Linked DNA regions of Cricetulus griseus. The protein of the gene in region 2 binds, or shares a complex with, the protein of the main gene of each other region. Links are inferred from orthologs where the notes say so. Each region holds a gene or a part of one and is shown on either strand. Other genes may lie near its edges.

Region 1 (8,183 bases), on a different chromosome or scaffold from region 2:
TGTCTCACCTCTGAAAGACTGTCCACTCTTGAAAGAGGGTAGACCATAGTAGTTGTGAAGCTAGTGTCTAAGATCAAAACCAAACGGAAACACAGAAGCCCCTGGCAAAGCCAAGGCACCCTCAGCAGCAGTAGTCACCCAGAGATCTGCAGAAAGCCCTAAAAACTCCCTAGAGGTCTGAGGACCTGGGTTGGGGCTCTAATGATATCAGCTTGCCCACAGTCCCCCACCTGGTTGGTAGGTTTTACTTTTTAAAATACTGTGTGTGTGTGTGTGTGTGTGTGTGTGTGTGTGTGTACTCGAGCTCGTGCTATTTTAGATGGAAAATATTCCCATACCTTTAAGGTGCAGGAAACTCAGAAACTCCATTATGGTGCGCACAATGTTGCTCTCAGGCAGTGGTCCATCAACACTTCCTAGACAATGGAAAAGAACTGTGTCGTGGCCTATTTCCTCACCACCCTCCTATTACCCATCAGAAGCCAGGGAGGCTGGCTGAGAGCCTGGGGGCATTGTAGACCATCCAGGGTCTTGCTAGAGAGGTGAAGGGACCCTGAACCAGCTTTTCCATGGCCAGCTCCCTTGTTGTAGCTGCATGCCCATGACTCTGCTCCCCAGTCCTGCCAGTTGAGAGGTGTGTGAGGCCACAGGCTCCCAGGTTGCTCCCAGGTCCTGCCTGGCCAGGACAGCCCCAGGCTGTGACTGGAGGCAGGATAGTGGTAGGTGTCACCACCATATCCCCACATGCACCCGGGAGTCCCGGTAGTGACGGGATGCACATCCAAGGACTCCAGCTTTACCTGGTCTTCCTTCCTCCGCTTCTAGTTGTAGCTCCCGCTTGCCTGTGAGGCCATGCTTGTCACTAAATGACCTGTGGTTGTCAATGGCATCTGTTTGCAGACCAGAGAGGAAGGGCCTGCTGTCACTGTGGCTTATCCCATTTCCATCCCCAGGGGAAGACCACACACAGCTGGACCACCAGCATAAAGCCAGTGTGTGGACACCCCAGAAGAGGGAAGCAATGTCTCCAGGGTCCCTGGGTGAGGGTGGTGATCACAGGGAACTGGGACTCCAATGGGAAGAGAGAGGTTGATGGTAAGGAGGGGTAGGCACTGAAGTAGATGTCTCCGACAGAAACAGGTGCCAGGTGCAGCTGGGAACATCCCAGGAGGTGGCTGGCCCCAAAGACAGGAGCTGGCTCCTAGGAAATACCTCCAAGAAAGATAACAGAACCTGGGTCTCCGCATCCCAGGAAACTAGGACATTGGAGAAATAACAGACTGTTATTTTCAAGGACCACTCCCATGTAGGAGGATTACATCCAGGGAAGGTGGGGTATCCAGGGAATGGGGGTGCAGAGAGCTGTGACTGTGGCTATGGCAGAGGTCCCTAAGAGATGAGGTCAGAGTCCAGGAAAGAAATGGCAGCTGACAAGTATTGAGAGATGGTACACAGAGGCTGGAGGGGGCGACTTAGGAGACAAAATAGGTGACATGGATGAGGCTCAGGACTTCTGGCCGCTTAGCTCACTTAGCCAAGCTAAACAAAAAGGCCAGTGAGTTCAACGGAGCCAGAGTTTAGGGCTAAATTCGTGGAGTAGCTACATTGTCTCATTTTGGAGCTCCTCCCTGAGGCATCCACATCCCAACAGCTCTGGCCTTTCAAAACCTGCCACACCTTGGTGGCATCAAAAGTACCTGACACCTGGCAGTCCACAGTGCACCTGCTGACCCAGCTGGATGGCTGCATGAACTTGACAGTGGGAACAAGTTTTCTATTCTGGCTCAAAGTCTTCCAGATAACATTTTCAATATTGTAACGTGACAAGGGTCAGTACCAGGCTCATACCTGTGAGGACTCTGGGAACCAGTCTGCAGACCTCTCCACAATCCCGGGCTAGGAGATCTTTCCAGGAATCAGGTGACTATGTGGACCCTGCACAGGGCCCCAGGCAGATTTGTCAACCCTATGCTTTGTTTCTTGAAGGATGAGCACACACATCTGCAGTGTGAACATGTGGCCTCATGCAACACAGGCTCAGAGGCACGGGCCCCCACTCCACTGTCCCTTCCCCTCTGGTGGACTGAGGATAGGGGTGGATGGATGGATGTTTTGTTTCTACCCAAGTGCCAGGGGCCAGCAAATGGGTACAGGTGTCTCAGAGCCAGCTGTGCATGTGAATTTAAAAACCACAACAGCTAAGCAACTAACTAGGCAACTCTCAGGAGGGAGCCAGTATCTTCCAGCTGTCTGCAAGCACCTTTCCCCTCTGTGGCTGCCTGTCCCTGCAGAGCTGTCTTTGCCCCTTGGTGACTCCACAGCCTCAAGCAAAGACCCTGTCTCTGGTGGTCACAGGTAACAAAACATTCACACTACACAAACATCAAACTCAAAGAAGGCCAAGCATCAACCTCCATTCCCCACAGGGTGACGACAGTGAGATGTGATGGATGTGTCATCAACACCACTTGGGTGATCTGCCCCACCCCACTCCATGCAAAGCCTCAGATTCTAATCCTCCCCAGCCACGAATGCAGAAAAAGCACTAGTGACATAGAGTGGGACCTGTGCTGAAGGGACAAGACTAGTGTTAGTGTAAGGTGCTGGGGTGACCTTGGGGCTGGGACTGGGGGAAAATGTTTGAGCAAGAAAGAAACCAGCTCAGGTGAGTCTTAAGATGAGACATCTGGCTACCTTTGTCAGAGTTCCCTTCTAGAGCTCAGAGGGCAGCTTCAGGATTCCAGGAAGTAGAAGAGGGTGTTAGTAAGACCCAGGGACTCAGAGAGTAGACCCAATCAGAACTCCAAGGAGTCCTGGAAGACTCCCCAAGAAGCCCAAATCAGAAGAAACTTCTAGAAGGAACAGGTGCTGAGTTTAAATGTGCAGAGCAATAATGGGCAGTCCCTGGTTTGCCCAGAGGTATCAGGTGCTGAGTGGGGCAGGGCAGCTTTGAGAAGTGGAAGAGAAAGGTTCAGACCAGAGCAGGCTCAGAGGCAAGATAAATCGAGGAGGGTAGGCACTGGGGTTTCCAGGAGACCCCAGGAATGAGCTCAACGGCTATAAGAGCTGGAGGCTGGAGGGGTAAGGCATTTCAGCAGGTGTTTTAAGTTGCAGTGGTTTGGCTAATGGAAACCCACAGTCCCCACAGCCACATGGGAATGCCCCCTGGTTTTCATCTGAGAGTAAATTGACTATGAGAACAGTGCCTGGTTCCCATAGTCACATCAGGACCCACAAAACCTCAGCCACCCAGCCCTACATCACTCACGTGGGCCCAGAAGGTAGCCAGCGCTGTTCAGGGTCCAGCCTCTCTTCTCCTTCGCCTAAAATAGGATGGCATGGGTCAGACAGCCTAGGTCCCTGGGCTGAAGAGCAGAGTAGCCCAGCCCAGCACAGAGAAGCCTAGGCACCCAGGCTGCCCTGAGTGACAGCATTTGACCTGAACACACAGCTGCATCCACTAATTCTGGGTCCAAATGTTCAAATCAGAGCAGGGCTCAGATGGTAACTCCTAGTACTCTCTTCAGAGCCAGGTGGCAGGCAGACTTTCTCCTGAGCAGCCTCAGGGCTGAGGGCTGTGCCTCTAGCACCCCCAATCTCTGGAGGAGTTAGTCTGTTTACCACAGTTGTTGGCCAACAAATAGGAGCCTTTTCCTTGCTGTTTTGTTGAGACAGCCCGGGAATAGCCCAGGCTGGCCTAATATTGCTATGTAGGGGAGTCCCAGCCTTGAACTTTTGATCCTCCCGCCTCCACCTGCCTCCTGCGCGCTGGAATTACAAGCCTGGGCCCCTATGAATAGAGCCATTTTGAGCTTGTCAGTGCCCAGCTGGTCCTCAGCCGTTCTCTTGGGACCCTCCCCACCACCCCACCCCTGCTGTGGGGAGAATGAACCATCCTTTGCTCCAGGCTGATCCTCACGTCTGACCCCCTTAGTCCTCTTTAGTGGTCGTCTGTCATCAGCACTTACTGGCACCCCAAGCCCCAGAGTAGCTGACAGGGTAGCAGCCAACAGGAGCCAGGCTAGCAGGAGGGCGCTGCCTCTGGCCATCTGGAAGGAGAGAAGTGAACGAGTTGACACCATCTAAGCGGCCTTGCACATGCACATCTCTGGGGGCCATTCGGACTGCGGACAGGAATGTGGGAGTGGCAGGATGGTGGGAGAGGCCGGACGATAGGGACCAAGCTGTGAGGGGCAGGGGCAGGGACGGGACGGCCAGCCACCCGAGGACTCGGGTCTGGCGCAGCTCATTGGGACGCAGGTACCTTGAGTAGCGGTGGGAACTGGGCGTGGCTGGTAGGCGCAGGTAGGGGTGTCTCTGTCCGGACGTGGCCTGGCAGACGGGCGATTCGCTCACCGCATGGCACAGAGCAGCAGCGTGAGAAAGCGTGCGAGGATCCCTCGACGTGTCCGCAGCAGGAGCAGCGCTGTCGCTGCTATTTATGCCCCACGGGAGCTGGGAGCTGCCGCGTCACCCGCTCAGCGCCGCCTCCCGCGAGTCCCAAGGGCCGCAGTGACAGGAACCGCTCCTGGGAGAAGGAGAGGACCACCCCCAGTCCCAGACCGTCACCCGAGCCATCCCTGCATCACAGAGCTCCTCCCCCAATGTTCCAACCCGGTGCTCAAACAAGAGTGACTCTGACACCCCCATCCTGAGGCTGGCGAGGAGTCTTACTCTCCTTCCCAGGGCTGGGGCTGGAAGGACCACTCAACATCCCAAGCGAGGCCAGTCACAGTCCGGGGCACCTCCTGAAAAACCAAGTTCCCAGGTCCTGCTCTCCACCTGCAGCTTCCCTACCCAGGGACCAGGGACCTCCACTCCTGTTTTGCTGAAGGTGGAGGGGGGGCAGCCATTCAGGGGTGCGGGCAGAGTGGAGGGTGGCTGGCCACATGGACAGGAAGGCCATAGAGTGCTGGAACACTGGATCAGCACACCTGGGCGTGTGTGTCATGGCACACGTGGGAGTCAAGGGACAACTCTGAAAGCTAGTTATCTCTGATATTTACGTAGTTCTGGATTTCCAGTCTTGTACTGAGTACCTTTGCCCACTAAGCCATCTTGCCGGCCCTCCTTTTAACGAAATGATACTTTGTCTTCAACCCCTCTTGTTTTGCAAATGTTCAAAACCAATAGGTGGACAACACTCCTCTGCCCACATCTCCCCTAGACTCCAGGGAAATCCAACCTTGGGCAGGCTAGGGCCTGAACATCCAGCCATCAGGCCCCATGGGAGGCTCAACAGAGGGAGAGGGAAGTACCTCTCACATTGGCCACTGAGATCTCAGTCAGCTGACCAGAAGGCAGAGCCCCAATGTGTCCCCCTGATCAGAAGCAGCTGGGATAAAGGGGAAAACAGACCAAGTGAGTGTCTGTCCCATAACCATTGAGACACAGTGGCAACAGCCTGCCACTCAGCTGTCTCAGCTAAGATAGGATGGTGTCTTGAACCTAAAAGTTCAAGGCCAGCCTGAGTAATGTGGCCAGATCCCATCTCAAAAGGTTAAAAACAAAACAAAACAAAAACCAACAGGAGCCAAGACTACCCAGTGATCATTTCTCCTAACATGTCTCACAGGGCAACCAGACATGGCCCTAATTAAATACTTTCGTGTTAGGAATTCATTTAAGGAGGTTATAGCAAGCTGGGTGTGGTGGTATGCACCTGTACCCTCAGCATGGGGAAGGCTGAGAGAGGCAGGAGTTTTAAGGTTGTTCTCCACTATACAGTGAGCTTGAGGCCAGCTTGGAATAAATGAAGCCCTGTCTTTTTAAAAAAACGGAGAAAAGGAAGGAAGCTATGTGGAAGACTGGGGCCAGACTCAAAGCTCACCCTTCAACGTCACTCCCCTCCAGGGTGTTTCCACCACTTGGGGTGGCCCCTGCTATCACTGCTCCCCATTTTGGTTGGGTGATGAGGTTTCTGTCCAACCTCTGGAGTGCCTGGCACCTACTGGGGAAACACCGGAAGGTAGAAACAGGACAGGGCTGTGACTTGCCACATCACTGATAAACTCGCTCCTACAAATGAGGACAGGGTACAGGATAACAGCACCCTCCTTCCTGGTACATGCTGTGCTGGAACCCAAGGCCTTATTCTAATGGGCTCTTCACTCAGCAATGACCCAATGGAATCATTGTCAACTTGTCATCTTCAAGGCGGCCCAGCATGTAGCTAGCAAAATGGGTCACCATTAGAGTAATGGACATGAAACACAAAGTGTCATTTTCCTACCTGTAAGTCCAGACTTTCTCAGAAGCTCTGCTTGCCGCTGCCACCAAGAAAAACTACCCAAACCTGAACACCAAAGACCCGGGGGCTCAAGAACAGCATCCCACTTGGGACTGTATCAGCAGTGCCCTGGCACTGCAGCTGTGGTTCTGAAACAGAGGGGCCTGCCCCCAGGGGAACTCCAATCTGGTGCAGACCTGAATATACAACCGTTCTCCAAATAACCGTTATGGTGAGAAGGTCTGTGAATCCAGAGCTAACAAGCAGGTAGATATGTCCCAATGAAGAGCCCGGGCCCCACACATTCCAGGTGGAGGACACCATGTGGGTATGCCTCTTTTCAGTCTTCCTTTGCTTCTTCCTCCTGGCTGGAGGGAAGCAACTATTTGGAGCCCAAGGTGATGGCTATGGTAGACAACCAGACTGAAGGAGCTGTGATTATGGGTACCTGAAACCAGATCCTTTGCTGCCTGCCTCTAGGCGTGTTTCAGAACAAAGTCCACTTTTTATTCAAGCCCGTGTTATTTGGAGTTTTACAGTTGATGCATCTGGAGCTACTGTGATCGGCATTTCCCACAAAACATTCGCCATCTGATGGGTAAATGAGCACAGACAAACAAATGGGAGAATAAGTCATCACCATTTCTGGCCATGCTGGGAAGATGGACTCATGAAAGGAGAGGCTGGGAAGAGCCACCAGACTGAGAAGCGGCCCTGTACCCCACTGTGATCTCATTATGACCGGAGAAGCAACCAAGAGAATGGTTAGATGATCTGAAACTGTCCAACCTTCACCCTGAAGACGTGCTTGACTCTCTTCCACCTGTTTCTACTGGCCCAGTTCCTTCTAACCTGACCCTAGTAACACAGTGGTCTTTGGGGGGAAAAAATCTCCAAATAATTCTCTGGGATGGGGGAACAGAAGCTGGAGCTAGGGTTGTGGTTCAGGAGCAGACCACGTCCTTAGAATCTCTCAGCTAGGGGCTGGGAGTGTGGTTCAGTGATAGGGCCTCTACCAGGCATGCACAAGCCAAAACAAAACAAAATACCACCTTGGGAAAGATTTAACTAAAGCAATGTGTCAACAGACAGCAGTGTGTCAGCCTGTGAGTGAGTCCCTGTATTCATTTGCTACAGATTTTCAAAACACACTTGAAAGTTTGCTAGCACCCTTCATATAAATAGCCAGCACTTTCCTCAGGGGTTATGTAGGTTATGAGGTCCAGTGTGCAAGGAAAGCTTGGGGGAACATCTGAGGATGTTCTGTTAGAGCTCTATGTCTTCTAAAGTTTTTTACATTTTTGTTTATATTTTTATGTATATAGGGGTTTTGTCCGAGAGTGTGTGTGCCAAATGCATGCAGTACCTACAGAGGCCAGAAGTTGGATCCCCAGGAAGGGGAGTCATAGGTGATTGTGAGCAGCCACAGGGGTGCTGGGAATCAAACCTGGGTCCTCTGGAAGAGCAGCCTGTGCTCTTAGCTGCTGAGCATCTCTCCAGCCCCAAGTTGTTTTTCTATCTTAATTCTGGAGATTTCATTCAATTTATTATTAGCGGTGTGTGGTGTGGTGTGTGTGTGTGTGTGTGTGTGTGTGTGTGTGTGTGTGTGTTTATGTGTAAAGGTGTGCACAGGTGAGTGTGTTGTGGAGTATTGTGGTGCTCCCCAGGAGCTGTCTACCTTTGCTTTATTTTGTTTTGTTTTGAGACTTGGTCTCTCGTGGGATCTGGAGCTTGCAAATTAAGCTCTGATGACTAGACCCTGAGCCCCAAGGTTTACCTGACTCCTCCCCAGCAAGGGGATTACAAGTGTACATCATTTCTGCCCAGGGTTTTTACACAGTTTTGCACACTGGGGATGGAATGCAGGACACATGGCAACCACTTTACTGACTGTATCCTCTCCCCAGCCCCGATTAGCATACATCAATTGTGCATAACAGTGGGTTTCATTATG
Region 2 (7,961 bases):
AACACCCAGACATGGTAGAGTCCATGAGAATGCTAACATGCTCAGAGTTTCTTGAGGGAAAGAACCTCCCCTGAAGGTGGGGTATGGCTTGCTCCTGCAATCCACTGCTCTCCCTGCTTTAGTTCTTTCTGCCGAAGAATCTACATGCCTAAAAACACCAGGTCCTGGGGTTCAGTGACAGCTCAGAGACCCACTGAAAACTGGAGACCCAGGCTATGGGAGTTGATGATCCAGTGAAGAAAACCTACTGAACAAAGAAGAGACTTTACAGTTACTCTGTGGATTCCCCTGTCCTGTGCCAGTTTCAATACTTGCTACAAACCTCTCCCATTACAGATCTCTTCGAGCAAAGCACCAGCTAGCAACGCTGCTTTCTTGTGTAATTCAAACACTGTGTGGTCTTATATTTTTGGTTGTAAGCCTAGCCTTTAGCAGCTAAGCCATCTCTCCAGTCTCACTATGTGGCCCTTAGACATAACCCCCCTTTTAGGAATTCGGCATCGTTGGTGATGATTGCAGGTTTTACCCTTACCATACCTGTCAGTGAGGTAAGGTAGCTTTCATTCATTGAGAACCCACTCTGTTCTCTTGCCACTGTGATATTTGGGAGAAATTATATCAATTATATATGGGAATTTACAGTCTGAACTTGCTCCCCGGTTTGTAACCTGCAGAGCTGGCCCAAGGCTTATTTTCTCTATTCTGTTGGAGAACTGGGAATAAATGGCAAAGAGCTTGAAATGGGCTGCAGGTTTCTGAAAAGGCTCTCAGGACATGGACGCATGTTCAAGCAACTTGGATGTTTTCCTCCAACACCACAGCATGGAAATAATGTAATCGAATTGGCCTGGCCGCCGCTGAAGCCTTCTCCACTCTGACAGAGGCAGCACCATCAGTCACATCCTAATTGAGAAACCTCAGGATTCATTTACCAGCCTTCCCTGCCCTAGCAGTCAGAGCCGACAACCAAGCAACCGTCTCTGGTGTGAGTCTCTGCCTTCAGATTCCCTGCCTTACCAAGACACCTCTCACTGCTGAAAACACATCAGTGTCTGTCAGCCACACAAGCCTCTGCTTACTATGGGAGCAAGTGGACAACTTGCTGGTGCATTGACAGTGAAGTAGCTCTGTCCTGCCAACAGAAAGTACATAGAAGGCAGTCACCGAGGGGTTTTCAATAGCAGCAATGAGAAAAGCCTGTAAGAGGGAGGTGAGGCTGGAGCCAGGAGCCTGCTGATGGAAAGGACAGTCCAGCTAGCTGACAACAGCTGGCATGATTGTAAATTCTTATATATGACAGCAACAACAACATTCACAGCATCTCTCCCAAATATGATAGTAGCAAGAGAACAGAGTAGCCTCTAAGCAGCTATTCTAGCTGGAAACCATCTTTTGCATAGATGTTAATATTTGCAGACTTATTAAAGCAAAAACAGATATGCTAAGTGCAAAACCTGCAAGATGGTCATATGTCACCAGTGATGCTGAATCCCTAGAGGGAGTTGTCTAAAGAACAGACATCACAGTACTGTGGGTCACAAGGAAAAGAATACGGATATGCTGAAAGAGTTCACTAAAGGCATAAGTATGGGTGGCATACTTCTTGATGTTAACTGGGTTTACATAGTCAGGCCAACTAAGTTGGGTTCCAGTTCAGGAATTCTGCAGCACCTAAGCATATTGACTTTGCTGATCAGTCCACAGAGATGATTCCAAATGTGTTCTTCTTAGCTCTGTTTTCCCTCCACAGCTCAGGCTATAAGCACATAGTGGCACAAGGTCCTGCCATCAAGCAAGAGATTGTAGACATTGGGACCACTTATGATTTTATCTCTGGAGACAATGAGCATAGTGGGCATGCCCTCACTTCAGACCTAGGAGGGCTCTAAGCAGAATGCATGCTGAGGACAGAGAGTGGCAGTCAAGAGCCCTACAGTGCAGAGAGGAGCCGTCTTGAAGAACACAGGCTGCTCCAACTCACTATGCTCTCCAGGGTCTTTGAGGTGCAAAGAGCTGTCTCACTAAACACAGCTGAGAAGATCATCTCTGAATCAATGAATAAATGCAATTTATTCATTGATTTTTTAAAAAGAAAAATCTAAAATACACACCAATCTCAAGTGTTATTTTGGCCATTTGTGGTTCCTCGAGTTGGCCCAATTCCTTGGACATATAGCCAGTTCAGAACCTGGCACTCAAGTTCTAGAGTCATTAACTAGATGACACTTACTTACTGCCTGACAGAAAACAGCAACTCCAGGTCTCTTATCTGTAGCTATTTAGGGCCTGGAATAAATGTGCAAGTATTAACATTGACTCAAAAGATGTTTGCAGCTAGACTACTTGGTGAGAAGCCAACTATTTCTGGATGAAAAAATAGTCAAATTTTCACCCATTCATTAGTTCCTAGACTTTGTCTTCTGTGGGACTTTTGTAGACTCTTTATTGACAGCCTGTTTAGTCCTAAAAGTTTACTTTTTCATTTCCACAAAGATGGAAATGGTTTTCCCCCTAGGGACTTGGGGCAGGGGATGAAGAGAGCCTGTGTTTCCTTTTCAAAGTAGCAGTTAGGAATTTAAAAGAGCAATATTTTAAGTACAGCTCTAGTTCCCAGCCCCTGTCCTCCAGAGGCCAATTAATTGTCATCTCCTGAAACCCCTTCTTTTACCAGACTCACCATCTGGTCAGTTGTTGCATCCCTCTGAAAGTCCTCTTATTAATAAGATAGAGATGGCAATTCCCACCCAGAGGCTCGAAGACCAAGCTCATGGGTGTGTGTGCATGCCCCACAACTCACTGTGCATAGAAGTCTTTGCCTTGCATTTGAAAAGACCAAAGGAATAAATTGGCTACTTCCTGACAGCTAGGCTGTACAAGCATCTTGGGAGCCAGTGTATTCATTTAAGTAATATGGCCATTCAAAAGACATACTGATCACATAGACGTGGGGAAGATGGATTCTTTTAAATGTATTTTTCTGGTGGAGATGTACCTTATAGTGGGATGTAAGAAACCATTGCTTTTCTAGATAGGAAGTTGTTTATGGTCCTACTGCCCACAGTCCAAAAGATTGGGAGTCAATGAAGGATAAAGTTGCATGGAAACTTTAGAATTTGCCTTGCAGGGATTCCCCCCTTCCCCGCTAGTTCTCATAGTACCCTAAAAAGAGATATGACATTGAGGTTATCTCAAGAACCTCATCAAGTGGCCACTAAAAATACACTCTGGATGATTAATGGTGCATCAGGTGGTGATTGAGAAGTCTAAGACTTTTGATTAATGTAAATGCCCATTTCTCTGCAATTCCTTAGGAGTTGTGAGCCACAGGTTCTTCCAAAATCATGACGACAAGATAGATAATCATATAGCTCCCCTCGCTGTGTGTTCTTGCTGCCCCTTTCCAGACCAAGCTCACCACCTGGATCCCCAACGCTGTCCACAAAACCTTGCTGGGAAACAGCAGCTGCCCTTCCACCCATGGTGTGTCCCAGCAGATCTGGGACACACACCTGCCTCTGTGCTTTGTGAGGCCACCTGAGGCAGAGCTGCAGTGCCCTTGAAGAAAAGCAGAATGAAAGTCTCTCTAGACAGGAATGCGAACTCTCCCCAGTACCTCTCAAACTCTAAGTTAACTTTCTTGTGTCACAAATCATTATAGAGCAAGCTGAGACAAAATGGAATGGAGAGGTAGAAGGAGCAGAGGAGCAGGATGCTAGAGGCTTGGTCGGGGGGACAGTGCTCCCCACTCACCTTGGCATAGCAAAAGCAGATGAGCAGTAAGGGCAGGAGATAGCCAAAGACGAAAGTGCACACCACATAAGCCTTCTTGTGGAGCTGGTTGGGCCAAAGCTCCCAGCAGAAGGTTTGGTTGTTGTCCCGATAGTAGAGACGCTGGTGGTAGGCCACTGGTGAGGCCATGGCGATAGACAGTGCCCAGATGAAGCCCACGCCCAGCAGCGCATTGCGGGACACCCTGAGGGAGGAGGAGCGCCGCGAGTGCACGATGGCCACGTAGCGGTCCACAGACATCGCGGCCAAGGTGAAAATGCTCACGAGCATGGATACAGTGAAGAAGTAGTGTGTGAACTTGCAGATGAAGGCGCCCAGCACCCAAGTGGGCAGTGCGTACACGGTGGCCTGGAAGGGAATGCAAAAGAGCAGATAGGCCAGGTCTGCGATGCTGAGGTTGAGGATGAACAGGTTGGTGGTGCTGCGCGGCTTGCCAGGTTTGCTGCGCGCCAGGACAGTGATCACCAGGCTGTTCCCCAGCACGCCCATCGCGAATATCAGGCCGAACACCACCAGCGTGATGAAGTTCTCCACGCCGATGCCAAACAGCAGCCTGGACTCCACAGCCGCGGGAGGCTCTGGATCACTCCCGTTCCCCTCGTTCCCCTCGCTGAGATTCAAGGTAGCCAGTTCCATCACTTACTGGCACACCCCTTGGGTGTCTATGCAACGGAAAGCGCTGGGAAGGAGTGCCAGGCAGGGAAGGCGGGCTCTGGGGATAGCTGAGAATCTCCGGGTGTCTCGGCACAGTGCAGTGAGAGCGTGTATCTCCAGCCAGAACCCCCAGCAACCTGAAAAGAGAGCAGGGGGCAGCGCCCCGGGCCGCGCCTGGTCAAACTGTCCTTGGTGCCTGGCCTGGCTACAGAGGGGGCGGTGCTGCAAGTACCTAGTTGAACCTTCCCATGCGGGGGCGGTGGACTCCACAACACAAGAGGTACTGGTCCTCTGTGTGACTCCTCCGATTGCGAGCTGGGCTGATAGGACTCGACCACGCGATCAGCCTGGTCTTTTGCGCCTTACCGGTTCTAATCCTTTTCTGGCCGTGTCCCCTTGCTCCCGCAGTGCCGTGGGGTCGCACCTGTTGCTCTGAGCCTCTTTATCCAAGCGAGCTGTCAGGGCACTGTGCTGCACACCTTGGATAGTGCAGAGTCGCTGAGCTTCCCACACTAAGCGCTGCGCTGCGCTGCGGCTCCCTCCTGCTTTCTCCCTGGTCTTCTGCAGGGCAAACCTCTCTCTGGGGTTCCCAGTGGCGGGCAGAGTTTCTTCTGCACGGGGGGGGGGGGGGCGGGCGGGGGCGGCGAGCAGTAAGAACTCAACTGCGTCTCCCCTGTGCCTCCGGAGTCCCTCCTGAAAAAGCACAGCTTGTTCTCTGAGCCTGGGCGCCCTCACCCAGATGGGTGGCAGCCCACCTCCTTGTTGGAGAGCTGCTCTGGTCCCTCGAAGGAGACTTCTTCGCACTGGCAGCCAAGCTGAGTAAGCTCCTGTGCGCGACTGGCTGAGGCGACAGGCTGTGCAGCCCTTCTGCCAACCGTACCCTGGTCTTTCCCGCTCCCAGCAAGAGCAGAAATAAACCTCACAAAAAAATCAAAAGGTTGGTCCTGCTACCGGAGGTGCTGTCACATTCGCTGCCTCTTTCCCTCCCTCATCCAGTCACAAGCTGAGCAGGGAAGAGGCAGGGGTGAATGGAGTTTTCATTAGGAGCGTGTCCTGCGCACACCGTACACCTCGGAGATCAGTCATTTCCACCACACATTACTCATCTGCGTGACACGAACGAACGGAAGCCTTGACAAGTGGTGTGTTTGTAAAGAGGTGTGGGACTTCCACCACCGCTGAAACCAGGGCAAACCAACTAGAAACAGCTGCCTATCTGGTAGTAGACACGGAAAGAAAACCCTGCCATTGCATGTACACGGTGTAGGAAGGGCTTAACTACGTCGCTTTCAAATAAGCCAGGGTCCTCCAGTGTGTGCGTAACCACAACTGTTGGACACAAGGCCGGAGGAAGAGTAAACACAGGCAGGGTCCTGGAAAAGCTCTGTGCCCAGGACATTGGCTCCTAGCACAGTCCAGCACTTCAGGGAAACGTGCACAATGGTGAGGCAGCAGCCACTGTACCTTGGGGATTCTGGGGACAGTCTGACCTCATTTCTCCCCCTCACCAGCTCTCTTGGGACACTTTTGCCATACAGTGCATATCTGCTAGTTCTTTTCTCTTCTGCTTAATGGAGGAAGCTCCCTTATGAAAAGACGTTGTATTCATTTTATGGAGGGCATGTCAGCTGTTACTAGCGTGCATCTAAGCATCCTAAGGACATCAGTTGCCTTGCCTTTCTCACCAGTAACACTCTGTGGCCGGCAGCTTCACAGGGTTCTGTCCTGTCCCTAGTTCTATGACATATGACCTATAAAGGTCATATGTAATATGACTTGAGGGAGTGGCTTAGCCTTGGGGTTTCTATTTTGATTTGTTCTGGTGTGTGTGTGTGTGTGTGTGTGTGTGTGTGTGTGTGTGTGTGTGTGTGTTTCTGGAAGGTGGTTGAATCCAGGGCCTTAGGTATGATAGGCAAACACTCTACCAGTGATCAATATCCCCAGCAAGAACTTATAGGGATTTTGCTCTTGTTTTTGTTTTCATGTGGAGTAAACTTTTCATTAATTAATTACTATCCTGTGTGTGTGCATAAGTGTGTTTGTGTGTGTGTGTGTGTGTGTGTGTGTGAGTGTGTGTGTGTGTGTGTGTGTGTGTGTGTGTGTGTGTGTGTGCTGGCACTCATGGCAGTCAGAGCAAACCTTTTAAGAGTCACTTCCTTCCACCATGGGCTCTGGGGATAGAGATAGAACTCAGTCATCAGGTTTTCTGAGCTGTTTCTTTGGCCCTCTATGGATTATTTTTGACGTGACAGGCATATAATGAGGTTACATCATATACACAAGTGCACCACCCATCTTAAGATACTTAAAAACTTATCAATATGCTTGAAGACATTGTGTATGCTAATGACAACCTCACCACAGTCACCTGTGTGGTCTGTCGCTCACTTCCAAATGTACATGTGATATATGCTTATGTCCCTCAATGGTATTCTCTGGTGGGGATTGAGGGTTTCATTTTTGCTTTAGCAGCGTGAGGAGATATGGTTTGCACTATGATTTACATTTTGTCTTGGTTTGCAACATGGATTGCATCTGTCTTTTGTTTTTTTTGCACTCTTCCCCAATCCTATGATATCCTCAGAGCAATACACAAATGAGAGACTCAAATCCAATGTGCCCATCTGTTTCCCAACTGGTGAGTTTGGTCCATTTCTGTGTGTGGCTGTCAGGGATCCAAGTGAATTGGTTTGTTGACATTCCCTGGACACTTCTCTGTTCCGTTTCCTACAAGCTGCTCCCTCTGCTGTTCTTTCCCTGGAATGTTCTTTTTAATTATTTATTTATTTAGAGACTACTTTATTGGTTTTTGTAATCAAACCCACGTAGATAAGACCTTACATATTTGATACAGTATGTTACCCCTGTGCAAATGGGAAAAAAAGTAAGTTTAACATTTCTAGGCCAATATGGCTATTAATTTCTGTACAATGCCAACTCAACATGGTAAACTGGGATACTTCTCTGGAATGTTCTATAGCCCCCTCCAGAGAGCTTTCTCCTGACTTCTGAAAGATTCTGCTCCAAGGTCAGCTTCTCACAGGGGTTTCTCCTGGCCGTCCTTTTGCCATTTCACTCCCAAGCTACTGTGTTTCCTTCCTTTGCTTTCTTGCCCATTCTCAGTCTTTGTCACATGTCATATTGTAGTGTTATATCCTTTTAGATGCCTTGTCCATAAACAGATGGGATTGAGAAGTGTGAAGCTGTATGGCTTAATTTTGAACTAATGTGACATTCAGAGCTGGATACATGAGTCTAGAGCTATTATCTGTCCGTTAGTTAATAGAAATTAAAAATGAACTGTTATGACTCACTCCCAAACAGTTCAGCCTCAGATCACTGTAACTCTCATCACTTTTCTACTTAGCTCACCTGGCTCTGCAGCCAAGTTGCTTTATGGACTCCCCTCTATTGGAGATCACCACCAGACAGCCAAAGCCCATTTCCTTCTCCAAGACTTGTAGCTGCCTGCCTTTGCCTCCTGGACCCATCAACCCATTGACCCCTTGGAAGCCCCT

The links. Proteins that work in one complex are often made in the same cells at the same time.
Region 1: the proteins of Galr1 (region 2) and Gal are in contact, whole or in part, in a cryo-EM structure (PDB 7WQ3), measured with the Homo sapiens proteins. The link is inferred for Cricetulus griseus from reciprocal best matches to the Homo sapiens genes GALR1 and GAL. Residues at the interface, in NP_001471.2 of Homo sapiens: Glu32, Gln92, Thr94, Val95, Tyr96, Leu98, Pro99, Thr100, His112, Gln174, Phe177, Arg180, Gln184, Phe186, Cys187, Trp188, Glu189, Gln190, Ile266, His267, Ala270, Phe275, Leu277, Ser281, Phe282, Arg285; in NP_057057.2 of Homo sapiens: Gly33, Trp34, Leu36, Asn37, Ser38, Gly40, Tyr41, Leu42, Leu43, Gly44, Pro45, Val48.

What each region holds. Positions count from the first base shown.
Region 1 is NC_048596.1:55,826,695-55,834,877, reverse strand, and holds the start of Gal (galanin peptides), read right to left. Parts: upstream 4,050-8,183; coding exon 3,969-4,049; intron 3,324-3,968; coding exon 3,269-3,323; intron 891-3,268; coding exon 801-890; intron 417-800; coding exon 339-416; intron 1-338. UniProt on the Homo sapiens protein: Endocrine hormone of the central and peripheral nervous systems that binds and activates the G protein-coupled receptors GALR1, GALR2, and GALR3.
Region 2 is NC_048595.1:233,138,505-233,146,465, reverse strand, and holds the start of Galr1 (galanin receptor type 1), read right to left. Parts: upstream 4,426-7,961; coding exon 3,751-4,425; intron 1-3,750. UniProt on the Homo sapiens protein: Receptor for the hormone galanin. The activity of this receptor is mediated by G proteins that inhibit adenylate cyclase activity.